7 linked regions of the Cricetulus griseus genome follow. The protein of the gene in region 6 interacts with the protein of the main gene of each other region in a pairwise test. Links are inferred from orthologs where the notes say so. Each region holds a gene or a part of one and is shown on either strand. Other genes may lie near its edges.

Region 1 (3,500 bases), on a different chromosome or scaffold from region 6:
GTTCTCCTGAATCCTAGTGGAAACATTGATCTTTCTTTATTCCCCTAAGTACATGCCTACATGCCTGCTACCTATTTGTTATGCTACCTTTACCAGTTATGTACCTGGAGTAGTTGTTAATAAACCACTAAGTCTTGGAGATTCTAGAAAGATGCAGGGAAAGACAGTATTATATATATCTTTTAAGAATGTGCAGTGGTTCTCAACCTTTCCAATGCCTTGACCCTTTAATACAGTTCGTCATGTTGTAATGACCCCAACCATAACATTATTTGTTGCTACTTCACAACTGTAATTTTTCTACTGTTAGGAATCATAATATATTTTTAGAGTTAGAGGTTTGCCAAAGGAGATCATGGCCCACCGGTTGAGAAATGCTAGTTTAATGATTTTTTTTAAGACATCAAAGTGGTAAAAATCCTGTCAGTTTTAGCTTTCTGTGGTTCCAGAGTTACATATAGTGTGGATATCTTGTACAAATTGTCAAAACATAACTATTAGGAAATGCTTTTTGCATGTTATCACCTAGGAAGCTGAGATTACTTTTCCAAATTAATCTATAATTATTTTAATGAAGCAGCAGTTTTCATGAATATTGGCTACTTTAAAGATGGGTAGCAGGTGACAGTGCAGCCCATGCCCTGCAAAAACAAAGACAGGTAGCAGTGGACAGTGTAGCCCCTTTGTAGTATACAAATACAAAGATGGGTAGTGGTTGACAGTATAGCCGCATGTCCTGCAAATACTCCTCTCTGAGATGTTGTCAGCCATGGGCAACTACTGAAAGGTCTTGTAATTCCTAGTTTACAAGTGCATTTACATGTTTGTGACTTGACAGGTAAATTATGTTTATCAGATCACTATCGACCAGCTTGCTTTCACAGTTTTTTTTTTTTTTTTTTTTACAGAAAATGAAATGTTAAACTGTAAAGATCACCATCATCTTATAGAATGCTAATTAAAATCTCTCATGAGAAAAAGTAGACCTGTATTATCAAGAAATAAGATATGTAATCATATAACTTAGACCAGATCACAGTAGTAATTCCTGCTATATACTTGAGTCCTGCTTTTATGTTGCCTAGCTTTTTAAAACTAGGTACCAAAAAGTGCTTTTGGTGAGAGGGTATTTATTTAAAAGCTACCCCTTTGGGCAGAATTCTTTTTAGAGTCTTGTGTTTAAATTACTTTCTTTGAATCAGTTCTTTTGATTTCCTTCCACAGGTATTCTGTGTGAGTAGGGGTGGGGTGGAAAGGGTGCCCCTCATTCTCCTTTAAGAGCCATGGCTATTATATTCTTGATCTCCCCTATCTCTGATTCTTGAAGCTTTCCTCTGCCCTGTTTCTACCCCTGATGTCGAGTACAGGAGGACGCCATCCTGCCCCCAATTTCCTCCTCCCTTCCCTCTAGGCAGACTGATGCTTTCTTTGTGTTCATCTTAACACAGCTAAAGACAAATCTTCACTTTCTCTAGGTAAAGCCACAGATTAGATAAAACTGGAAAAGGAACTATTTCAGCCAACACCGTTGCAGATTGATCATAAGTACCCTTAAACATACAAGTGATTCTAGTATTCTTTTTTTATTAGGCAAAAGAGATTTCACTAACAGACCTTCAGGAGAATTATATTGAGGCATTAAATAAATTAGTGTCTGAAAATCAACAACTACAGAAAGATCTGATGAACACCAAATCTCAGCTGGAGCATGCTACTCACGTGTGTACAAAAAAAGATGGCAGGATCTTTAAACCAGCACGCAGCAGAGTAGCTGAGTTCAAGAACGCAGAGTTTAAGTAAAGTTCCTTAAAAGTCTCTTTGACATGTGTGTGCTGCCGTGTGATTTCCTCTGCTTTGAGAAGTGCAGTCATCACAGGCTCTGGGTTTAATTCTGACTGCAGAGTGCACAAGTGGCTCAGGTGGTTCGGCCTTCATTTCATTACAGCTTTTGTTCTGTGCACCCTGCTTATAGGTGTGAACCCCATTTGTTCCCCAGAGCGTTTTCATGCTGCCTCCCACCACCTCTATCCCACCTGTTCCATAAGAAGTAAAACTTGGCTTATTATAAAAAGCGTCCATTGTATTTTTGGTCAATTAATATCAGGTTGTTACCGTAAGAAAGATTCAATGAGAAGCCACTGGCTTCAGTGTGTTTTCCTATCAAAAGCCTTTGGTGACACTCTCACCCACAGTGACATTATGTGGCTGCCTTCTCTGGGCATGGGGCTGTCCTGCCTGGTCACTCTGAATCACTGTGGTAGCTTGTTTGGCCTCTGCTATGGGGCAAGCATGAGAGCAGAGCTTGAATGAGTGAGGAACACTTGTCCTTACATGGGCTGCTCGTTTCTAAGTGACAGCACCTTGCTACCTAGCCTGTTATTTAATGTTCAGATGAGCATGCTTCTTTCAGCATTTATCGGAAAGAAAATTTGCTACAATTTTTCATTTATTTTGTTTTCTAATCTGCTATCCAGGCCAACCCATGGCCAGCACAGACATGATGGAATAAAGACTGAGCAGTACAAAACAGGTCACCACTCGCCTCGAGAACAAACGTTGGATAGCATAGAACCCATGGCCAGGGGCCCCAGCCCCATGAGTCCTCACACCAGCCCTGACAGCTCCACCGTGTCTCTGCCTTCCAACTTTCTATGCTATGCTCACTCTTTGCCTTCAATGCTAGATATAAATGATGGCAACTTTTCTGACATCCTGTCTGACTGTATGAATGACCAAGAAGAGTTTGTATCTTCGGTATGGAAACGTTCTAATCTTAACATTTATTTTTATATTTAATTTAAGGTGAAAAGGGTGTTTTGTTTTACTGGGTCCCAATCAGTAGTACCCTTTATTATTTTCACACATTTCCACCATGCAGTTTTACTCATGAAGGCACATTCAGCCAACATGACTTCAAACTCACGTTCTGAAATGAGTGTAGGTATTCACTGACAGTAGCCTGCACCTTCCTGCCTGCCTTTTCTAGAGAGGGCTGACTCTGTTGCAGTGATTGCATCAAGGGCTGTTTCTGGATGCCAGCAGAGTTCCAAAGCATGGGCAGTGATAAGGGAAAAGGGGCTGTTGGGAAGGGGCTGGTGGCAGAGGGCAGACGGCAGTGCATCTGAGGTGTGCAGAGTGGCATTTGGGTATCTGAGATGGCCCTGGTAGTAGAGGCTATCTGTGACTCTGTGCTGGTTCCCCCACCACTAGGCTCCACTGTTCTTTGTCCTCTGTAGGGAAGCACTTGTGTTGGGCCATTTCATTGCCTGTTGTCAGCTGTAGTCACATCCTTGTGAAGGTTTCAGTATGATTTTTAAAATGTGTCAGCAATTCCATGGAAAGGTTTCCCTTTAGTTTTCAAAATGAATGTTTTACTTTCATGTAAACAAACAAACAAACAACTTAACACCTAGAGAAGTGACTTTTTTCCTAAGTTTGGCAGCACACCTTTCCTGATTTATGATATGTGAATTTTATGGATGTCACTTTTTCTGAAGAGT
Region 2 (2,983 bases), on a different chromosome or scaffold from region 6:
TTCCACTTCTGTGACATTCTTACCTAAATTTTGTAACCCTAGAAATTGATTAGACATTTGTGGTCACCATTAAGAAAGTCCTGGAAGAAGGGAGACACGACAAGGAAATACAGTGTGATCCAGAAGCAGAAGAAGAACTGGGTAACCCAGGAGGACTCAGATGATTTTATTAAGTATGACTAAGTGGCTTGACTTTATTAACTACTTTAGATGCTAGCATTGTGCTGATGTTGGCTTCTGGAATTATTATTCCAGAATAATTCTATTCTGGTTATTCAGGGTGCTTGTTGGATGAGGGTTGAGTGCGAGCTTTCCATTTCTGCAACATTTTGGATCAAGTTGTTTCAAATATTTTAGACAAATTGTTGTTTTAATCAGGTACTGAGAGAAATCACCAAATTTACAGCACCGACTGGAAGAGTAGGAAGTTCAGCATTTAATTGGGGCTTGCTTACAGTTTCAGAGGTTCAGTCCATTGTCATCATGGCAGGAAGGATGGCAGCACATGGGCAGACATGGTAGCTGAGAGTTCTGCCCCCTGATCAGCAGGCAGCAGGAAGAGAGAGACTCTGGACTTGGAGTGAGCTTTTTGAAACTTCTAAGCCCACCCTAGGTGCCACACTTCCTCAAACAACACCATACCTCCTAATTCATATAGTGCCACTCCCTGGTGACAAAATATTCAAATCTTTGAGCCTATGGGGGCCATTCAAAACCACCAGGCATTCCTAACTCTTTTATAGTAGCAGGAGCAATAACACCCCCTTCCATGGCAGAGTGAGGGCCTGATGAGGTTTCTCTCAGCTATACCCTTAGGTGGCTCTGTGGTTTAGGTTGGCCACTATACCACAGAGTGGTATAGTGAGGGTGGGGGTGGGGGGTGAGGTTGGAAATACTGAAATGCCCTTAGGGTGAAGCACCTAGCAGAGAAGAGATGGGCAAGAGTGTTGTAGAGGTCTTATCTCTGAGTAAGGTTGGCTGTGTTGTCTGAGCTGTGGTCAGGAATTTAGGAGACTTCCATTGTGATGCAAAAGAAACAGAATGTGTGGACAGGCCCTAGAGGGCCAATGACACAATAAAGACCTAGTTGCCAGGTCCTCAATACCAGAAGCCTAGCAGAAGGGAGATGGAGCCCAAGCTCCAGGTCCCCCTTCCCACCCCCTCCCCCTAGGCTGTCTGAAATGTCACCTTCTACCTGAACACCACCTCCCTGGTCTCAGTCATTAACTCTGGTCCATAACTCCTGCTTGGTTCCATCTCCTCCACCAACTCACACGAGACTGCCATCTGTTCTTCCTGGAATCTCCAAGGTTTTCTGCTTTCCTCGGGCCCTCATGGCCAGTTCTGACAGCTCATCTGAGATGCCTGCCTCACCTCAAACTCCTAACTCTATTCCTTGTATTAAGCAAGGACTATCAGAACCAGCAAATCCTGGGATCACCATTTCCCTTCTTGAAATTGGATCACTACCCCCCTTCTGCTGGGGCTCCCTTCCACCACCAAAGGATAGTATTCGTCCACTAGGAAGAACAGGGTTGGTACAGAAATTTAGCAATCTCTTAAAAGATGTCAAAGATGTTCTTAAAAGTATAGCAGGCAATGAGGAGATGATGACTACAGAAGTCAGGGAGTCTTTTGACGATGCCAGCACTTCCGAGGATATGTTAGAACCTAAAATCAGAGGTGTTGATAGGAGAAAAAAAATGGGATTTAGAGATATGCTCACTAATTTCCAACTAGAGAAAGAACAGAACATGAAGAAGAGGCGGGAGATGATATTGCATAACCAGAGTGCTAAGAACGCAATTCAAGCACATAGAAGGGATCGATGCAACTCAGAAGAGAAAAAAGGCTGTGATGACATGCATCTGAACATAGAAAGAGGCCGGTATGGATCCCTTCACATTCATGGGGAATATAGAAGACTCAGGAACAACATGGAGCAGTTACTGCAGGAAGCAGATCACTGGAGTATACAACACCGCGAGCTCAGTGATCTAATGAGGTCGTATCAGGAAAGCCACAAAGAAAGGAGAGAACCCTCTGAAAACAATCACATCTGTTACCAAACCCAGGCCAACAACGAACCGTCAACCAAACAGGAGCTGGAGGCACAGGTAAAAAAGCTGAGCCATGACACGCACTCGCTGCATTTGATCGCAGCCCTGCTGGAGAACGAATGTCAGATCCTACAGCAAAGGGTAGATATTCTCAGGGAGCTCCATCTCCACGAAGCTGAACCCCAGCAAGAGAGGCCATGCTATCTGCAGGACAGGAAATATCAGAAGTTCGTGGAAGCAGACAAGATGGAATGTAACAAGCAGAACCCGAAGGTAATGGAAGGCACGTATCCTAAGAAAGAAAAGATCTCCAGGAACTCAGATGCTTGTCTGACAAAGAAGGCTCGGAATAACCGCTGCAACACCCGCGTTGGAAGAAAAACTCTCCTGGTGAAAAGGAGAACCCATAGCAGCTTCCGGTAAAAGCCATCAGAAGCAGAGCCAGCTTCAGTAGTAACTGTCATCAGCCTAGGGTAGATCCTCTATTTCAACCAAGAAAGAGCCCTAGAATAAGAGGTTCATATTACCTCAGTAGTTAGAAAAGTTTGGACCTTAAGACCATTCTGTGAATGTCAACCAAGTGAAGATTGGAATAAAAACAACAAAAGGAAAGCACGTTGTTTGACTGTTTTCATTTTTATTTCTTTAACAGCATCTGGGGGAGATAACTTACTAGTGCATTGAGGAAAACTAACTTCCTTTCCCAGAGGAGGCATTCCCTGGCAATAGCTCCCCTAAAGCACCACTAGACAACCAGTTTTTTTTTTAAAGCATATTTTTATGTAGTTTTGTTATCATGGCTGAATTTTAAGTATTTCTTATAAACTCCTTTAATTGAAAACATTTTCATACAATATATTTTGATAATGTTTTACCCTCTCCTAACTCCTCCCAATTCTTCCACCTCTCTACCCATCCAACTT
Region 3 (3,500 bases), about 18 Mb from region 6:
CTGAAGCAGAAATGTCTAGAGAGTTTAGTGCTAAATAATAGACAGCTGGTCAACAGTGTGTCTGCTGGTCACACTATCTCACATGCATGGTTTTCTTTTTCTGCATTTAAACTAAAATTTAATTGGCAGATGATCCAAAAATGGATCCCTAAAATTATCCCCAGGAGTATAAAGTTCTCGTATTACCAGTGCATGTCTCAATAGAATATCCTTTGTATCCCCATTGCACACTAGAGGAAGACACAGAATCAGAATACAAACCAGACTATAAAGTTTACTGTCACCCAGGGCAAGGGAAATTTAGCATCTAAGTGAGACATGCAGAATCACTCCATGATGTAAGTGCTAGAGCTCTAATCTGAAGGGGCTTCCTCTTCCTACACAAATGTGTCTGTCTGTCTCCCACAGGTAAGCACACTGGATTGGGGACGAGCAGAACGTGCCTATAACCTCTGTGAGGTGCTGTTTAAAGTTCACAAGGTGAGTATCCTTGGCATTTGGATGCCCCTTAGATGACAGAGTGGGAGGAGCAATATGCTCATTGAGGGATATTTGTTCCAGACCAGTTATTTTATCATCTTATTGATTGTTGAGATAGATGGATGGATGGATGGATGGATGGATGGATGGATGGATGGATGGATGGATGAATGCTGAATGATGAAGGGATGGATGTTTTTTGGGTGGAAAATGGATGGTGGTGGTAGTGTGTGTGTGTGTGTGTGTGTGTGTGTGTGTGTGTGTGTGTGTGTGTGTGTTAGTAGCCACATTCTTGAACATGCAGAGACAAGGAGGGTATGTTAGCTTTCTTCTTGTTTCTTCCACCTTATTCCCTTAAAACAGAGTCTTTCATTAAACCTGGAAGTAGGCCTATAGCAAGCTCCAGCAACCCTCCTCTCTCTGCCCTTAACTGCACTGGGGTTCCAAATATACAGGGTCATCCTGGATTTTCTACACATATGGGGGATTTGAACTCGGGTCCTCATGCATGTGCAGCAATCACTCTTACCTGCTAAGCCACCAACTCAGCCCTGTTGAGGAATCCTTTTGTAATCAAATTCAGATTTGTGGCCTAAAAGGAGTTCTTATTTAAGCATGGACTGGACAGGTCAGAACGATGAGTTAAGCAGTTCTAACCAATTAGAGGAAAGTATTCAAAGATAATGAAGGTGGGGGTGGTTATCCACAGTAGTCACATGAAGCTGTCAAAATTGGCAAGTGCATTGCACAGTTCCAGTGTAGCAGATCCACAGGCAGGAAGTAGGTTTCCCTTAATGGGAAGGTGTCATTGCTGATAAGGACCCAATGTAAGGGACATGGGCTTACCTGGGAAGAGTCTTTGTGAGCCCTTTGTTTCCACTGCTGTGGTGACATGCTGGGAATAATGAACAAGACTGTAAATGAGGTGCGCCACTGGACCCATAAGATGTCACTGAGATTTGGGATCTTGGTTTCAGAGGGAATTCTCTTAGTTATATTGTTGGAGGTTTTGTTTTATCTTTTGTTTGTTTGTTTTGTTTGTCTTTTGGTTTTTAAACTGGACTCTTATGTAGCTCAGGCTTGTCTCAAATTCAGTCTATACTTGAGGGTGGCCTTAGACTAACCCTCCTGCCTCTGTTAACCAAGAGCTGGCATGATGATGGCAGGCCCCTGCAGGAATGGGGGGAGAGGCTTTCTAGGTGTGCCACCACCACATCCCTCATGTCTCCTGTGATACGGACTGTAATTTCCAGCTCTTTAAGGCCAGGGAAGTGCACTGCAGGGATTCACAACCTTCTCTGTATTGTGGTCATCTGGAGGGAGCTTCGCCCAAGGCAAAGGATCTAATTCTGCATGCTGTGACATATGAGTCACACATCGAAGCTCTCTTTACATAAAGGTCCCTGGGAATGTTGCTGTGTGGCCAGATCTGTGAATTACCGCTCAGCATCTCATAGTCTGTTCTGAAGCATGTCTTTATAAATAAGCTACATTTTATTGTACCAATTATGTAGAGTTATTAGATACCAAGCTAGATGTATCTTGGTGATCAGAGTTTCCTGTCATCTTTGCACTGTGAGCAAGACAGTTTAAATACATAGCTGCTGTGCTGAATCTATTAATGAGGATGATAGTGGTCTTCATTTATACCTCTTAGCTCAGTATTCTAAGTACTGTCTCTCCCTTGCCCTGCTCGAGTTAATGTTTATTCATCCAGTTATGAACTCCTTCACTACAATTCATGGTTGAAAAAGAGAAAGAACAAGAGCACACTTTGTCTCTGAGCTAGAGACCTATCATTGACTAACAATTCACCTCCAAACTCAGGAGTTAAAACAGCAGCCACCATCCTACAGCTCTGGGCCTGAACTCCTCCTTAGAAATGCTAAACCCAGGCCCTCTGAGGAATCAGTGTAGGCCAAAAAAACTCCTGTGGGCTTTTCTCAGCTTGTTGGGTTTGTGCTAAACAAAAAAATCTCTACGTTTTTAACTTTAAAAGTAAAATATAGTAGTTATCAGTCTCTTAGGAGGAAAGGCTAAACTCCAATAATCAGAGTCTGGGCATAGCTTATGTACAATACTTTTGTGGGCCATTTCTATAGCTGTGTATGAGGAGGAGCCTATTAAAAAGCCTTCTCTCAGTGTTCCCTATTGCCTGCTTCCATACCCTTCATCTGGAAGTAGTAACAACTGGCAGCATCCAGGTCGCTGTAGCTAACCTTGACAGGAGGAAATCCCCAGAGGGTGTTGCTGCTTCTAAACAAGTACATCAGGAACACAGATGGAAGATGCAGCTGCCAGTTGTCTGGTGGGGACAGGACAGTCAGGTGAGTCTGTGGTGGACCATCAGGCTATATCTAGTGCATTATTTGTTTGTTTGTTTGTTTCAGCTATTGTTCCGAAATGTTGCTAAAGCACTTGTCCCATTTGGTGGTTGTGAGGAAGTGATGACCTCCACCAGACCAGGCAAATGCAACCCTCTTCCCAAATGGTGGACTGGGTTCTGTAGTCTGGGCTCAACTTTCCAATTCTGACCCATTTCCAATCCACACTTTTTTTCAGTTCTGGCTTTCGGACAACTACTGGCTACAGGCAAACTTTTATCTGGGTCTCCATGATTTTGACTGTGAAGACCCCAGGCCATACTGCTTTAGCGTCCTGGCCAGCCATGGGAAGAGCCACAACTTCAGCGTGGAGCTGGGCAGTGAGCTGGCTGTGTGGGAGAAGTCATTCCAAAGAGCAACTTTCATGGAAGTTCAGAGAACTGGGGTGAGTATGGTATGGGATTCATGCTTTTCTCACAACAGCTTTTAGGCAGCATTTGACACCTAGGGGATAGAGTATCAATGAAGGTTTATTTCAGGAAAGTGAATCGTGAGAGGTGAACGTTTTTCATCCGAGTCACCATGTCAAAGCAACCTTCCATCATGAGCAGGGCCTTCATTAATAAGCAGAGCTGTTTGTCATAGGGTCTTGCATCTAGTTCATATGTGCATTCATATTTATTGTGAGAAGAGAGC
Region 4 (4,097 bases), on a different chromosome or scaffold from region 6:
TGTTTTTAATTAAGCTTCTCACACACTTGGAGAACATTCACACTGAGACAGGTGTCTAAAGCAGTTAAGAATAGATCCAGCTGGACCACATCAACATTTAAAAATAGTGTTTTGGGCTCTGGAACAAAAGTTCACACATATTGGTAAAGTATTTATCAAAAGCTAATGAAACAACACAGGGTTTACTCCACAAATGTGTGATGGTATGCATTTTATTTTTTTTTAAGGAATGTATAATTGTTTCCTCATCCATCTGAAAACTGATTGCAGAAGGGCCAGTGACCGCAAGAGCAATAAAAGGCTGAAGCCACAAATCCTGAACTACCCTCTAAGATGGTACCCTTTGGGTTTTCCACAGAACAAATAAAAGTGACCTCAATATCTCAGAAGATGCCAGTTTTATTTTATTTTTTTCAAGTTTCACCATGTGGGGTAATCATATTTATGAAAAAAGATTTGACATCTGGATTACAAGCAAGATCAGGTTGAACTACCTTGAATTGTATTAATTAAACATCTTTCAATGTGCGCTCATTTAATTTTATTCATGCCCAAACCATATGAATAATGAAATTAGTACCAGCAAAACCACCATCGAAAATTTGGGAAAAAAAAGTCAAGAAAGAGGAGGAGCTCCAGTCTGGGCAACCACAGCATACATATACTTGTAATTTCAGCCAGCCTGGTCTACTTCGGGGAGACTTTGCAAAAAAGATAGGAGAGAGGGAGACCTGGAATACGAATGAATGAATGAGTGAATGAATGAATGATGAACAGATTTGGGATTAGGTGACTGCAATTTACTTTGTAAAGGAGAGGATGAGGTCCAAGGTGGCATTTAGAGCTACCTGGAAGTTCAGTGGCTCTGGCTGCCCTGATGAAGTGTGACCTCTCACAGAGGGTGTGTGAGTGAACGTGCCCTCCCTAGGCCTCCGGAGGGGCCTGGAGAGCTTCCTCGGGCGGATAGCACCGAGGTGAAGGATGGGGGCGGCGGCGGCGCATTCCCGCCGGGCTAACAAAGGCAGCGGAGGGACTTCCAGAGCCGGGAAGCCCGCGCGGGGCCGAAGGGTTAACCCGGAGCCCGGCTCCCGCGCGCATCCCGGCCCCCGCCTGCCGTCGCTAGGAGACGCCGGAAGTGGGGGAGGGGCGGCGCGGGTGGGAATCTTTTTCGGGAGCCCGGGGGCGGAGGGAGGGAGGGGAGCGCGCGTGCGCGTGCCCGCGCTGCCCGCCCGCCCGTCGCCGCGGTGACCGTCCTCGCGGCTCTCGCCGGCTCGCGCCCCCGCCTCCGTCCCCCGCCCCCTCCCGCCCTCCCCGCCGCGCGCTGGGGGTGCCGCTCGCTCCTCCCGATTCCCGCCGCGCTCGCCGCTGCTCCTCCTCTCTCAGGCGTCGCGGCCGCTGCCTCTGCGGGCTGTATGAGGAGGCGGAGGAGGAGGAGGATGTGAAGATGGCGGAGCTGCAGATGCTGCTGGAAGAGGAAATCCCGGGGGGCCGCCGGGCCCTCTTCGACAGCTACACGAATCTGGAGCGGGTGGCCGACTACTGCGAGAACAACTACATCCAGGTGCGTCGCGTCCCCCCGGCTGAGCGCGTCAGGTCGCGGGAGTGTGCGGGGCGCGCGGGGCGCCGCCGCCTGAGGAGGCCGCGCGGTGCTCGGCCCGGGGAGCCGCGCCGGGGTGGGGACGGGCGAGGGCGGCGGCGGCGGCGGCGGCGGCGGGAGGAAGCGGGCTCGGCGGAACGCCCCAGAAGCCCCGTGCGGGTCCGCGGTGCGGTGCGTGCGTGTGTGGCGGCCCGCCTCCTCATCGCTGCCCCTTTGCCCCCGCACTCTTCGCCTGTCAGGGTTCCGGGCGGCGGCGGAGGAGGTGGCGAGTGGCATTTTGTAGATAACGGAATGCTGCTCGGATGGCCGGGTTGTGTGTGATAGAGGGATATGTTACCTCCTGCCCAATTCCCAGGGGCTTTTAAGGGGTCCAGTTCCTGCAAAGTGAATTGCTTCGGTTTTCCCTTCCTGGGAATGTCCCCTGAAGACAAAACAAAAATACTTAACCCTTAAGTTTAATTTTTTTTTTTTAAGGTTGTAAAGGGGACACAGTGGGACGGCGTCCCTTATTACAAGTTAATGGCATTTTTCTCAATACAGAGAATGGGGAACTGCCCGATGATGGGCTGCTTTTCCTCCCCAATCCCCGTTAGAATAGGTCATTTTCCTATGGGAAAAAGAACTATGACTATTTTTCACAAAGATTTACGAAAATGAACCTTAGTTTTTTTCCCATGATGATTGCTTTGGCACCGGGACTCATAGTGGGTGTGTGTAGGAAGGTGAGAAGGTGGGGGAAAGACATTGGTGAGATGAGAACCAGCTGGTCATGGATGAATGTTAAAAATCTTATGGGTTAAAACAACGCTTTAAAAATTAACTAATGATTTTCAAATCCAGTATCTCTTGTTTTCCGTAGGGCATATACGGAATTTTGGGTTGTGCCTCGTTTATGTTCTCTGGATAAAGTGGAAGCAGGGTGTTAAGCTGTTAGCCCTTTTTAAACATTCTTGTTCCTACTCCCATCTCTGCAGATACCCTTATCGTAACCAGTTATATTGGAAAGCATTCTCAGTAGTTAGTATGAATTGTATATATTAAAAATTCTATAATTTATAGGTTCATAAGTTTTCTGGGGACCACATGGTTAATCAGAGATAATGTCATTAGGTTTTTCATTGATTACACATGTACTGAACTCTACTACTGTTGCAAACATTTGTGTTGGGGAATGAATCTGACATAATGGAATCCTTTTCCCTTCAAAGAAGGAGTTGAAAATGTGTGTTCAGTAGGAAGAAAGTGTGACTTTGGTTACAGATTGATTTAAAAACAAATCAAAACCCTAAGATACTTGCTAATACAGAGCTGTGTAGGAGTTAAAAGGTTTTATTGCTTAGCTTCACCAGTCTTCTTTGGCCCAGAACTGTTGATGGTACACTCCTAAAGTCTTCAGGGGTTTATAATGTAGTTCAAGAGGCTGATCTGTGAGCGAATTAAACCCATATTAGTACTATATATCGTCAGCCCTTCTTGTTGGAGGGTCCTACATTTGTGATTCAATAAATTGATCAGTGAAAATACTCCCTCTGTATAAATGCAAAGAGACGTTTTTCTTGTCTTTCCCTAAAAGATAGTGTTAACACTTAATGGGCATTTACATTTTATTAGGTATTGTAGGTAACCTGTAGATTTAAAATATGGAGGAGGATGTGTTATGGATAACATGTAAATATGCAGTTTTATGTAAAGGACTTGAGTATCCAGAGATGTTGGGATGGGGCTGTGGTGTTGGTGTGGGGGGTGTTCTAGAACTGATCCCTATTGGATACTGAGGGAAAAGTCAAGTATAGTTAATTTATACTTTGTAGTGGATTGTGGGTAGGGAGGTTTTGCTTATTTTCAGGGATTCACAGCTGCTAGGAGAGGCAAACCTAAAAGTGCTAATTCTGTTGCCTCATGTAGCATATTGTGGGAAAGTGTCTGTCAGAAGAGAAACTGGGGGATGGAAAAGTGATAGGATTGTAGTTGTAGCCGACTAATAAGAAACAGGTTTGTCTGTCTTTGGAAGATTAATGCTACTATGTTAGATTATAATTGCCACATAAAGGGAAGCATACATGAATTGATCTAGTGGAAAAGTGTAAAATCAGCATTTGTCTTAAATTTTATAATTCTAGCTGAAAGAGAAGTGTCAAAATTGGTATGTTATTTACGTACTTATTTTTGGTGTTGGGGATTGAGTTTAGGGTCTTGTGCGTGTTAAAAATATACTCTACCTGAATTATACTCTGAGCCCACGGTAAAAGCACAAATAATAATTTCCTAGAAATGGATTTTGAATTTTGAATCATCTGTTTTCAATTTAGCACCTGAAGTAGAGTTTGTACTTTGATTGCTTAGGTTGTCCTCTATTGTGGGAATCACTGGATTTATTACAGTTGTGCTCTCCCAGGTGACACTTCTTACATGATAACTAGAACTGGTGATAGTTGATTTGTGCTGACCCAGCTGTACATTTGACTCAAGAACTGACCAGCAGGGGTCCTGATGCTGTCTG
Region 5 (4,022 bases), on a different chromosome or scaffold from region 6:
TAAATGAGATCTGGTGCCCTCTTCTGATATGCAGGCAAATATGCAGACAGAATACTGTATATGTAATAAGTAAATAAATTTAAAAATAAAGAAAAAAGAAAAGAAAGCAAGGAACTCAGCCGGGCATTGGTGGCGCACGCCTTTAATCCCAGCACTCGGGAGGCAGAAGCAGGTGGATCTCTGTGAGTTCGAGGCCAGCTTGGTCTCCCGAGCGAGTGCCAGGATAGGCTCCAAAGCTACACAGAGAAACCCTGGGGGGGGTGGAGGGGGGGAAGGCAGGGAACTAAACAGGTAGAAGTTAATTTTTTGGATAAAGTAGACCCTCTCTTCATTCTCAAGAGGTTCATGGTTTACCTGGTTAATGTTGACATTTGAGATCTTTACCTTGGTGTAGCCCAATTTTGTTGCTTTCTAAATAGGGAAACTAAGACCCAGGAGTGGAGCATGAACATGTCCACAGGAAAAGAGCAGGTTGCCTTCACTTGCTTCCAAGGACAAGAGGCCTTGCCCAGGTGAGCAATCTGAACAGCTCAATGCTGTTACTCCACAGTCATGGCTTTGACTAAACTGGGGGATGTTCTGTTTTGAGAAGCAGATTCCTTTGAGTTCTGACAGAGCAGGCTAGCTCATGAAATGACAGGTCTTAACTCCCTCCCCTCACCAGTAGCTGCCCTCTCACCCAGACCCTTGGCTTTCTTCTTTTCTTGTGGCCTTCGGTGGTCTCGGTCTCCAACCTCATCACTTGCTCGGACCTCTTCTGAGCCTGGCTCCCCCTTGGAGGTTTCCTTCTCGCCATTGATGACTGGAATCCCTGGTTCAGGCTCCCCATTCCTTGCTGCATAGGTTCGGGACTTCTCTGCATCTTCCGGCTCAGTAGGCTCACCCTGTGCTCCCTCCTCGCCTGGGCCTCCCTGATTGTTGTCTACACAGTATGTACTCAGAATGTCTTCCAGCTGCCGGCTCAGCTCCTCAGACACATCACACAGGGGCCCAGACTTGGCTGCTTTAGCTTGAGCCCCTACAGCAACAAGATTAGGACACAGAATGAAAATAAGATGGTTACATCCCTGGCTTGAACTTTCTTTTTCTTTAACCCTAGACAAATACACTAGTTTGGGATAAATGTTGTTTTATTTGGTTGAGACACGATCTCTCTACAGAGCCCTGACTGTCCCGGAACTATGTAGACCAGGCTGCCCTCAAAGTCAGAGAGCTACCTGCCTCTGCCTCCCAAGAGCTAGGACTAAAAGAGAGGGCCACTACGCCGAGCCTCAGTTTAATTTTTTCAAACCTTAAGTTTACTTTGTTATAAAATGATACAATTATTATCACCCAAACATACTTCTTATGACCATAAAAGACAATTATGGCTGGGAAGTAATAGTGCTAGCCTTTGATCCCAGCACTTGGGAAGCAGAGGCAGGTGGATCTCTGTGAGTTCAAGTCCAGCCTGGTCTACAGAGTTCCAGGGCAGCCAGGGCTACACAGAGAAACCCTGTCTCAAAAACACAAAACCAAACAACCAAACAAAAAAGACAACTATGTAGATAAAGCACCACACCAGGGTTGGGTGGCATGTAGTAGAGACTCCACCTCTAATTCCTTTTTTTCCTACTCAAAACGCATTTTTGGTTATTTTTATAGTTCCAGAAATGTCTCAAGTATGAAGGACAATTACCCCCCCCCCACACACTGGCAAGTGTTTTCTGGGAACATGACTTTGTTTGTGGGGTGCCTCAGTTGTCATTTAATTTAAACCAGTCAGAGCATGCTCCCAAGGTTCCATTCCAGGGCTAAGGGAGGGAAGCTTCATCACCTGCCTGGGAAACACGAGACCCACACAGAATGGGTATTGTTTCATTCCATAGTTCCTCCTTCCTGGGTAAACACTGGCCTCAGCACCGAGGCCAGTCCCAGAAACTCCTCCCTCTGCCCACTGGAAAAGCAGAGCAGGCACACACCCTCGGTCTTCCCAGGAGCCTGGTTTGTGGAACCTTCAGCCTCCGCCGCAGGAGCTGTCTGTCTGGGCCGTCCCTGGGCTCCCTCTGGTGCCGCTTCCCGTTGCCCGGGGCTGCTCTTCGGGTTGGAGTGTTTGGCAGGCCCATTCTTTTTGTCTTGGTTCTTCATTGTGATCTGCAAAGGCAGAAAACGGGTAGATCCTTTGAAGACGACACAGTTGCTATTTTCAAGACTTCAAAAAATTTCACAACCTAGATCAGAAATCCCAACGCCAGGCGCTCCAAGCTTCAAACAAACTGGCCGGCCTTGGCGGAGACTCGAGGGTCCCTGCAGGGAGGGTGTCGGAGGAGCTGGCCCTGAGGAGAGTGAAGAAGAGGCCTCCTTTCTCCCGAAAGCCACTTCCCAGCAGCACCACTCCGCTCCCTCTCGGAACGCGAGCGCGGGATTGGCTCCCCGCCGCACGATGACGTGGCGGGACGCTCCAGCCCCCACCGGCCCCCGGCCCGGCCCCACGTGGGACCCCCGGGCGCGCGCGCCCGCCCGCCCGCCAGCCCGCGCGGAAGCCACCCACACCCCGCGCGCCCTCTAGCCCCACGGACGCATGCGCAAGGCGGCGACATCGCCACAGACCCCCGCACGGAATTAGTTATTCCTCTGCAGCCAACGCAAGCTGGGCCACAGACCCTCAGAAGAGCTCGTCCCACCTACCGCCAACAGACGTACCTCACCACGGACGTCCGATGGCGTCCCCCGCTCTGGCCGGGCACCGGAAACCCGGGTAACCGCTGCCAGCAGGACCGCCCGCTCCTGCCGCAGCCAATGAAGAGCTAACGCTGGCGCGGAGCTTGCTGGGAAAGACGAGGCCAAGGTGGCTTTGGAGTCGTGAGCGGGAACGAACTACGAGTCCCTTCATGCATTGCGGCGGGGCACAATTCCCGAGATGCCTCCCTTTTTAGGGTCTCTACCCGCTGCAGGTCTGAAATTCTGCAGTACAGTCTAGAGATTCCCGTCAGTATCCTTTCGAGTGCAGAAGCTGTGATTGGCGCTTGGCTGTTTGTTTCATACGCTTCTCCATTGATCCCTGTGGACGTGTATGACTGTTTCTAGGACCTCTGAGGACTCGAAGAGGGATAGAAGGCTGAGCTGGGAATTAGGAGACCTTTGTTCCACTCCTAAACCAGTAATTTGTCATGTGCCTGGCATTCTATCCCCCCCCCCATTCCAACAGAGGGGTTTTGTTTTTGTTTTGTTTTTGGAGACAGGGTTTCTCTGTGTAGCTTTGGAGCCTATCCTGGCACATCCTGGAGACCAGGCTGGCTTCGAACTCTCCTGCCTCTGCCTCCCAAGTGCTGGGATTAAAGACGTGCGCCACCAAAGCCCGGCGTCACTGTCTTCTCTTATTCTTTTTTTTTTTTTAAGATTTTATTTATTTATTATGTATACAACATTCTGCTTCCATGTATATCTACACATGAGAAGAGGGCACCAGATCTCATAGCAGATGGTTGTGAGCCACCATGTGGGTGCTGGGAATTGAACTCAGCACCTTTGGAAGAGCTCTTAACCTCTGAGCTATCTCTCTAGCCCCTGTCTTCTCTTCTTGTATCTAATAGCTTGGCCCTCATAATTACTCGGAGAAAGTACAGGATACTTTGTGATCTAGGAAATATAGGACAGTATGGAAAAGGCGAGATGGCTTTTTTAATTGCTTGCTGTCTGTTGGAGACAATGTTTCCTTATGTGTAGCCTTGGCTGACCTGGAGCTCCCTATGAGGATCAAACTGGTCTTGAACTAAAGACAAAGGCGACCATGCCCAGCTAAAGGTTATATAATCTAAGGCTGCATCAATATTGAGTGGTAATAGCAGATTCAAAGCCAGAAGCCTGACACCAGCACCCATCTTAACCACTTTCTTCCCAGAAGAAATAATCGCCGTCACAGGCTTTCTCTGAGGCAGTGTACTGGACACCTCTGTCATCACCAGCTTGGCAGTAGCTCTCTCAGGAAGGGATTGTAGCAGAGGGAGTTTGGCTTCCGGCAACTTGGTGAACTCCCACTCCAT
Region 6 (4,160 bases):
GAGAAATGACCCTTTGAGTCATTAAAAGAAGACTTAGCTGCTGGGCGTTGGTGGCTCATGCCTTTAATCCCAGCACTCAGGAGGCAGAGGCAGGTGGATCTCTGTGAGTTTGAGGCCAGCCTGGTCTACAGAGCGAGTGCCAGGATAGGCTCCAAAGCAATACAGAGAAACCCTGTCTCGAAAAACAAAAACAAAAAACCACCACCAACAAAAAAGACTTAGCTGTTCCTAAAGAGTTTGGAAAGGATTCTATTAAAAAAAAATGGGACCATGAGGTCAGGCATGTTGGAGCATGCCTTTAATCCCAGTGCCCAGGAGACAGAAGGTGGATCTCTCGAAGTTCAAGGCCAGCCTGGTCTCCAAAGAGAGTTCCAGGACTGATTGGGCTGTTACACTAAAACCTTATCTTGGAAAAAATACCAACCAAGAAACATATAAGGGGCTGGAGAGATAGCTCAGCAGTTAAAGAGCACTTTGATGTTATTAGAGGACCTGGGTTCGATTTTCCAGCACCCACAGGGCAGCTCACAGTTCCAGGGGATCCAATTCACTCTGCTGGTCTCCCGGGGGGGGGGGGCGCACGTGTGTGATGAACACACATACTTGTAGGCCAAACACTTATACACATAACATAAAAACATCAATCCTTTTTAAAAATGGTACTATGAACTGACCGGCCCCTGCTCCTTTGCCCAAGCTGTTTTTAGCAAGTCGAAACGTTCCCACTTTCAGGAACTACCGCGCAGCTAAGCGGAAGTAATCTGTTCCCCCTTATCCTCTCACAGCATCCGGCTGTGGCTTGGCTATTCGCAGGTGACCGGACTCGGTCCTCGCAAGGCTGCTCTTCCCCCTGAGTTACGCGCTCCTGGGGCCTAGGGGCCTGTGACCCAGAGCATGTCCACGGCGCACCAGACGCGGAGTCAGTGCTCAGTGAGCCTGCTGAGTCAATGTGGAAAGTCACCCGGGGCAGGAGCCCGCGCTCGAGGCGCGGGTGAATCATTCACCGGGTGTTTCTTGGCATTCCTTACGGTGCAGTCACGTCGGCGCAGCATCCAGCCGCCGGGCAGCTACCTGTGGAGTGGAAGCGCGCCTCCGCCTCCGCCGCCCGCGCACCGCAGAGGCCCGGAGGGGGCGCGCGAACCCGCGGGAGGGCACGCGGCCGCCTCCCCGCCCCCTCTCGTGGCGGAAGCCCCGCCCCTCGCGCGCCCGCCCGCCGGCCCTCCGCGCGCACCCGCCCTCGCCCTCGCGCCTCGCGCCCTCGCGCCGGGGGCGGGCTCGCTGCGCGTGCCGGGCGGGGGAAGCGGCGCGAGCCGGCGCCGGGAACGTTCGCCGTGGGGGCGGCTCCGGGGCCTGAGTGGGCGCCGTCGCCTCAGCCGCTGCAGCTGCTTCAGCCGCCTCAAGTCGAGGGGGCCGGGCCGGAGGAGGCTGCGGCCGCCGGAGAGCCACGCGACGCCCCCTCAGCTCCGGCCGGGAAGTGAGCCAGGTGGGGAGTCCTCCGCCCGGGCTGGAGGAGCGAGGAGGGAGCCTGCGGGGTGGCGGAGCGCGCGGCCGTGGAGCTGCGACCCTTGGGAGACGGCACGCCGGGCCGGGGAGGGAGAGAGGAAGGGGGGGTCCTCCGGCCACCCGCGCGCACGGTGGCGGCGGGGCGCAGAGCCGGGCTGCGCGCGCCTGCTGATGCAGCGGGAGCCCGGCTTGCGGGGAGGAGGCTCCGGGTTAGGTGCTGAAGGGGGCGAAGGCGGCAGGTCCTGGCAGAGGGCAGGTGAGGCAGGCAGGCCCTGGCAGAGGGAAGGGAATTCATTCCAGATCGCCCCCTCGGTGTCTCCCGGTAGACGAACCTGTCCACCCAGGTCACCCTTGATGGGTATAGTGTCCCGAGAAGAGACGGGAGGATGCGGCTGCCGAATGCTTACGGTTACATTCCCCGTGCCAGGCCTTGGGGAATCAGGGAGACCTTCCAGCATTCTCTGCAAAGCGTTTATTGATTAGCTACGGAGCAGGAGACAAGCGCGGTCAGCCCCGGGGTCACGACTCAGTCACTCCCAGCCATCATTTGCTGCTCAAGTGCTGACAGTTGGGCCGTGAAAGTATGCATATAAAATGTAAAGCGCTCAATTTCTCGTCTCTTGTCCTGGTCATTTCAGCCTCTTTAGTCTTTTTTCCATGGGAAACCATGGGAAAAAAGATCCCTAAGTTGCTTGGTTTGTGGAGAAAGTAGGCTACTCAAGGGAAGCTGGTGGGAGTTATTGAGAAGAGATTGGAAGGGTCTTAGTGACATTTAAAAGAGAGGGAAAGGAAAATTTAAAGAGAACCTTGCCTTCTCAACTAGAGTTAAGCTTAGTCCTCAGGATGTGGCCTGGATCCCAGTAGTCTTAGAATTGATGTCCACTGAATGAGTGTTGGAGGAAGCAGGGGTTTGATACATTTTATATGGAGTAGTGTCTGCCTCTCTAGAGTTAGGGGTGGTTGGTGGACTTCTTTGGGCCTCAGATCGTCTTTTTGCCTCGGGTAGCCAGGGTTTTAGGCACTGGGTAGGTTAAAACAGTGGCCTGGGTGGCAGACTCCGGTGGCTTGTGGCCAGTCTTTTACATCCACGTGGTTCTTGCATGTTGGGTACCAGGCGCTTGCTCTTTGGGTGGTCTCTTGAGATCCGGTTCTGGTCCTTCTCTCATTGGCTTTTTGTTTGTTTTTGTTATGCTTTTTTGAGGATGGAGTATGCTTTTGCTACGAACACTTGTAGTTTCTATTCTGCCTCTTGGGTCTGGGCTCTGAGGTGACAGAATGCTGAGGTGAGAGAATGTCTGGTCAGTCCTGTAAGGGCAGGAGTTCCGTCCTCCACCTTCCAGGGTGTTGGACTCTCCAGCCCCAGGCTGCTGTTCCCTTCCTCTGGCTTGCAGTGCTTGTTGGGTTACTTTGCTTGCCAAATTAAAACTTGACCTTTTATGAGTTCTCTGAGGATTTTTATCAGACATAAGTGGAACTGCCTCTGAAGGAGGTTGTGAAGTCAAGGTGGTGCTGGCGGTGTCATGATGTTCAATAATTTTTCCCGGAAGACAGAATTTCTACTTGGAGTTAAAATACTAGAGTTCATGAGATTTCCAGTTACCATTTATTTCATGTCTTCAGTGTTAACATATCTGAGCCTTAGTTCCTCATCTAATGAAAGTAATATCAGTACAAATTTGGCGTTGAATATATAGTGAGCCTTGAAGCAACACTTTTATTTCATGTTAGTGAGCATGCAACCTTTAAGTTTATAGTAAGTTTTGTTTTGGGGTGTCTACGTGGCTCTGTAATTTTTGGTACCTTGGTTTCAGGCTTTCCTAATATTTTCTAGATGCTTAATTTACACTTATTTCAAAATCAGTGCCCCCTCCCTTTTGAAACAGTGTCTTGCTGAACCCAGCTGGCCTGGTACTCAATATACTGTAGCCAAGGATATAGGCTGACCTTGAATTTGTGGCCATCTCCTCAGTCTCCTGAGTGAACCACCCTGCATGGTTAAAACAAACTTTTTTTGTGATTTTGTTTTTAAGATAGAGGTCTTCTCTATGTTGCCCTGACTGACTTTGAGCTTGTAGTTATCCTCCTGCCCATGTGTGCTGGGATTACAGGTGTGCGCTACTGTTCCTTCTTGATACATAGTTAGCATATGATAAAAGGGGCAGATTTTACATGTTGAATTGGATGTTTTAAAAAACCATACATATTGTTGGGTGTGGTGGCACATGTCTAAATCCCGGTCTCTGGAGGCAGAGGCAAGCTGATCACTGTGAGTTTAAGGCTAGCCAGGGTTACATGGGGAGACTGTTTCAACAGAAAGTAAAATCAAAAGGGAAACAGTAACAAAAGCCCTCTGCAAAGAAAACAAAAACAAAGGAAAACCATATATAACTGTGTAAACTATCCCAATCAAAATATATACATTTGTATCACCAGAAGATTAACTCATGCTATCTTTGAGGACAGCCCACCCCATTTTACTTATTTCAAATTACATATACATTAGAGCTGTGGTTTCTGGTTGTATGCTGTCCAGTTTTAGGGGTATCATTTGCGTTGGAGTCTCTGTGCCTGGCAGCTCTTGGACTTCAGTAGTTCAAGTAGCTCATAATGCATACTTGGTTATAAGATACTCAGATAAAAAAAAAAAACCCACTTGG
Region 7 (3,500 bases), on a different chromosome or scaffold from region 6:
ACTGTTCATTTGGTTGAGTATTGAGAGGTAAGTCCTACTTTGTATTCCAGTCTGTCCTGGAACTCATGACTTTCCTGTTGTGCATGGCATAAGCACTGTTTGAGCAGAACAGGTGAGTCACTTTTTTTTTTTTTTTTAACTTAAAAGAGAAGGCAACCAACCACAGCACCAACATGGCAACACTCATTGGCAAATTCATCAGTGGCAGGTGGGGATGGAAGCCATGACTGCTCCAGTGCAGCCAGCAAGGAAGGTTGACAGGGCAGGGCTCCTGGGCTGGAGCATGGAAGATAATAGGTAGCATGTCTAAGTCAACCACCAAAACACCTACTGCCAGCTCTTCCCAACTCTGCCCAACATGCTGCACTTGTACCAATTTCTAGGTACTGTCAGGGAATCAGGGCAGCTGGTAAAAGGCCCAGGAGCAAAGTGACCACCAGCAGCCAGGCGTTGATAGTGCATGCCTTTGATCCCAGCACTGAAAAGGCAGAGGTAGGTGGATCTCAGTGAGTTCGAAACCAGCCTGGTCTACAAGAGCTAGTTCCAGGACAGCCTCCAAAGCCACAGAAAAACCCTGTCTTGGGGGAAGAAAAGAAAAGAAAAAAAAAAAGTGACCACCAGCTCAGCTTTTGAACTAAGGCAGGCCTGAACACACACCTGTAACCCAACACCATGAGACAGAAGCTTCAGCTTCCACACTGATAAATGGAGTAACTGCGGTGACCTGTATCCCACACGGATGCATGCAAGAGTTTAAGACAATGGTTCCAGTGCTTGGGAAGCTGAGGCAAGAGGACTAGTGTGAGTTCAAGGCTGTCCTAGGCCATCCAGCAAGTTCCAGGACAGTCTGAGCTATAGAGAAAGACCTTGTCTCAAAGAAACAAAATTGTTAAGAATAAATAAAAAGACAATGCCTTGGTCACACAGTAGGCCCATGGTGGGCATGGGGATGAGTGCACTGTGCATCAGCCCCAGCCTTCCCCAGAGCGCACCCCTGCAACTCTGCCTCAGGAACTCTTGTTCTCAATTCTGAACAACAGAAAAGCATGCAATAATTAGACACAGATGCTTCTGCCCCAGTATTTCAGGGACAGGCTTCCCACATGACCATCAACATGACATGCAGGGTCAAACTAAACACTGCTGGGAAATATCAGTTACTTCTCATCACATTACAGTAGTTGTGTCACTCATGGAGATACAGAGTGTATAAGGGTCAACATGTGATTTACCTGTCTCCGGTGCTTCCTTAAGTCACTAGGCTGACAGATGCATGTGAAGAAACGAGAGAGAGAGCAGGTTTACTGTACACATTGGGGAAAAGACTCAAGGAACAGTGAGACAATTGATAAGCAGGGCCAGGACACGCACAGGTTGAACACTGAGAGGAAACAACACTGGAAATAAACATTCTCAAGACAGTTAAAAAGTATGCAGATTTCCCAGGAGGCAACACTTAGTTAAGACTGAGTTTCAACACAGGCAATGCATTAAAACCCAGCATTCCTTGTAAGAAAGGACTCTAATGACCCTCACTCGAAACCAGCCTCTCTGTTGCTAGTTGTAAACACACTGGAATTTAAGAACTCCATCAGGAGCTGTTACATTATCTATTATAAAGTCAAACCAGCCTTGAGTTAACAACCTACTGGATATTAACCTAAAATCCTTACCTAGAATTTGATTTAAAACTTTTCAAAAATAAGCTGATTGTTTAAGGCAGTAAGAGCAACTCTCCCTGCTCCTGTGAAAAGCTCCAAGAAAACCTAGTGGGGTTACAGGGAGAGCCTCTAGGCCTTACAGTGTGCACAGTATTAAATGTAAGAGTTTATCAAAGACAGCAAGTCTGTCAGCAGGTAGCTGAAAGCCGAGTGACACCAGAACCAGAAGGGGCTGTGTCTGGGCTTCCATCAGTACCACACAAGGTAGGTCACCTGGACATACAGGACACTCCCTTGTAGAATCACAGACTTTCCTCCCTGTGTCCACATGCAGGAAACACAAGTAACAGAGAATGCATTCTTAACATGAAAAAGAGCCAACAATTACATTTTTTTTTGTTTGAGAGAGGACCTCTCTACATAGCTTTGGCTGTCCTGGAACTCAATCTGTAGACCAGGCTGGCCTCGAATTCACAGAGATGTGCCTGCCTCTGCCTCCAAAATGCTGGGATTAAAGGTATGTGCCACCACCGGCCAACAACAATGCATTCCTCAAGCATACTGCAGATGTACACTTGGGTGCTTGGGGGGTGGGGCTGTCACAGCATAAGGTGTCAGATGGGCAGACAGACAGGGATCTGGGATGGGGATCAGGCAGAAGTAGACTGACAGCAGTAAGTCAGTCTTAAGCTGAGAAAAACACACAGCTATTCCTACAAAGTGTTTGGAAGGAGGATGAAGCCACAGACCATGCCATGAAAGTTAGGACCTTACCCCCTGCACTAATGACAGGTATTACACAGTGCATCAAAATACAAGAGACTATACTATTCAACAGCTCATTAAAATGATTCCACTGAATTAGTTACATGCCCACTGCCAGCGTCATGGAAACTACAAATGAAAGCAGCAGCAAAAGAGATGCAGCATGGCAGGGTAGCTAGGATATAGACTGAGTCCAAGTTTAGTATGTAGGCTCTTAGGATCAATCACATGCTAAATCCTCAACAGTCACTAGAAATTCTGAGATCCACACACTTGGGGCATAGAATTTCTGAGACAAAAGTGCTCCCAAGCTAACCAGTCAAGATGCCCATCTCTTTCAGCTCGTAATCCACAGGTCTCCTGAGTGGCCCTTGTGACTCTGAGCTTAGAGACACCCCTGCTGTGAGGGCTAAGGGACTCCTTCATACTTTTTTTTTTTTTTTTTTTTTTTTTTTTAAATTTCTGAAGATGGAAGCCAAGCCTGGCACAGGCTAAGCAGTGCTCATCCCACCATTGGCCTCCACCCCAGGCTCCCTGCATGTCTTCCCACATGCTACAACACCTCTCCAGTCATTTCTGTTCAAACAGGAAGCATAGCCCCTTCTGGCTTGCACCAGACCCCTGCCTAGCACCCCATAATTAAGTGTAACATGCTGGTTTGGTCATCTAAGTATTATAATTAATTTGCATTGTTGACTAAATACTAGTTAACTTAAAAAAAAAAAAAGACAGGGTTTCACTATATAGTCCTGGCTAACCCGATTCACTATGTAGACCAGGCTAGACTCAAAAGAAATCACCTGCCTCTGTCTCCACCCCTTCTGGAACCTCTTGGATGAAGATGTGACTTCCATGTGTAACCCTTCACCAGTAGGCTGAAGTAGAAAAGGCCCACTTACCAGAGTCATGACACCCAGCCTGTCCACCTCCCGGGCTGGACTGTGAGGGACCCTTCTCGGTGTGGACCGACCACTGCCTGGAGGAGAAGAGCCAGCAATCGAGGAAGCAGGGTAGGCGGGGATGGAGCTCATTGATCTAAAACGACCAAGATTATCCAAGCTTCCACTGCCCACT

What was found.
Region 1: the proteins of Dtnb (region 6) and Cep63 interact in binary tests that used the Homo sapiens proteins (3 or more experiments, as listed by UniProt). The two-hybrid records come from large-scale screens. The link is inferred for Cricetulus griseus from reciprocal best matches to the Homo sapiens genes DTNB and CEP63.
Region 2: the proteins of Dtnb (region 6) and Spz1 interact in binary tests that used the Homo sapiens proteins (3 or more experiments, as listed by UniProt). The two-hybrid records come from large-scale screens. The link is inferred for Cricetulus griseus from reciprocal best matches to the Homo sapiens genes DTNB and SPZ1.
Region 3: the proteins of Dtnb (region 6) and Sntg2 interact in binary tests that used the Homo sapiens proteins (3 or more experiments, as listed by UniProt). The link is inferred for Cricetulus griseus from reciprocal best matches to the Homo sapiens genes DTNB and SNTG2.
Region 4: the proteins of Dtnb (region 6) and Abi2 interact in binary tests that used the Homo sapiens proteins (3 or more experiments, as listed by UniProt). The link is inferred for Cricetulus griseus from reciprocal best matches to the Homo sapiens genes DTNB and ABI2.
Region 5: the proteins of Dtnb (region 6) and Txlna interact in binary tests that used the Homo sapiens proteins (3 or more experiments, as listed by UniProt). The two-hybrid records come from large-scale screens. The link is inferred for Cricetulus griseus from reciprocal best matches to the Homo sapiens genes DTNB and TXLNA.
Region 7: the proteins of Dtnb (region 6) and Ppfia1 interact in binary tests that used the Homo sapiens proteins (3 or more experiments, as listed by UniProt). The link is inferred for Cricetulus griseus from reciprocal best matches to the Homo sapiens genes DTNB and PPFIA1.

The regions. Positions count from the first base shown.
Region 1 is NC_048597.1:210,823,446-210,826,945, reverse strand, and holds part of Cep63 (centrosomal protein of 63 kDa), read left to right. Parts: intron 1-1,590; coding exon 1,591-1,796; intron 1,797-2,474; coding exon 2,475-2,754; intron 2,755-3,500. UniProt on the Homo sapiens protein: Required for normal spindle assembly.
Region 2 is NC_048595.1:311,346,326-311,349,308, reverse strand, and holds Spz1 (spermatogenic leucine zipper protein 1), read left to right. Parts: upstream 1-1,334; coding exon 1,335-2,483; downstream 2,484-2,983. UniProt on the Homo sapiens protein: Transcription factor that binds to the DNA sequence 5'-CANNTG-3'(E box) and the G-box motif. May play an important role in the regulation of cell proliferation and differentiation during spermatogenesis.
Region 3 is NC_048600.1:32,272,781-32,276,280, reverse strand, and holds part of Sntg2 (gamma-2-syntrophin), read left to right. Parts: intron 1-408; coding exon 409-480; intron 481-3,042; coding exon 3,043-3,249; intron 3,250-3,500. UniProt on the Homo sapiens protein: Adapter protein that binds to and probably organizes the subcellular localization of a variety of proteins. May link various receptors to the actin cytoskeleton and the dystrophin glycoprotein complex.
Region 4 is NC_048595.1:414,643,516-414,647,612, forward strand, and holds the start of Abi2 (abl interactor 2), read left to right. Parts: upstream 1-1,297; 5' UTR 1,298-1,444; coding exon 1,445-1,561; intron 1,562-4,097. UniProt on the Homo sapiens protein: Regulator of actin cytoskeleton dynamics underlying cell motility and adhesion. Functions as a component of the WAVE complex, which activates actin nucleating machinery Arp2/3 to drive lamellipodia formation.
Region 5 is NC_048595.1:23,393,060-23,397,081, reverse strand, and holds the start of Txlna (alpha-taxilin), read right to left. Parts: upstream 2,801-4,022; 5' UTR 2,683-2,800; exon of another isoform or gene 2,668-2,682; intron 2,134-2,667; 5' UTR 2,128-2,133; coding exon 1,962-2,127; intron 1,019-1,961; coding exon 680-1,018; intron 1-679. UniProt on the Homo sapiens protein: May be involved in intracellular vesicle traffic and potentially in calcium-dependent exocytosis in neuroendocrine cells.
Region 6 is NC_048600.1:14,466,537-14,470,696, forward strand, and holds the start of Dtnb (dystrobrevin beta), read left to right. Parts: upstream 1-1,360; 5' UTR 1,361-1,483; intron 1,484-4,160.
Region 7 is NC_048596.1:56,858,600-56,862,099, reverse strand, and holds part of Ppfia1 (liprin-alpha-1), read right to left. Parts: coding exon 3,326-3,500; intron 1-3,325. UniProt on the Homo sapiens protein: May regulate the disassembly of focal adhesions. May localize receptor-like tyrosine phosphatases type 2A at specific sites on the plasma membrane, possibly regulating their interaction with the extracellular environment and their association with substrates.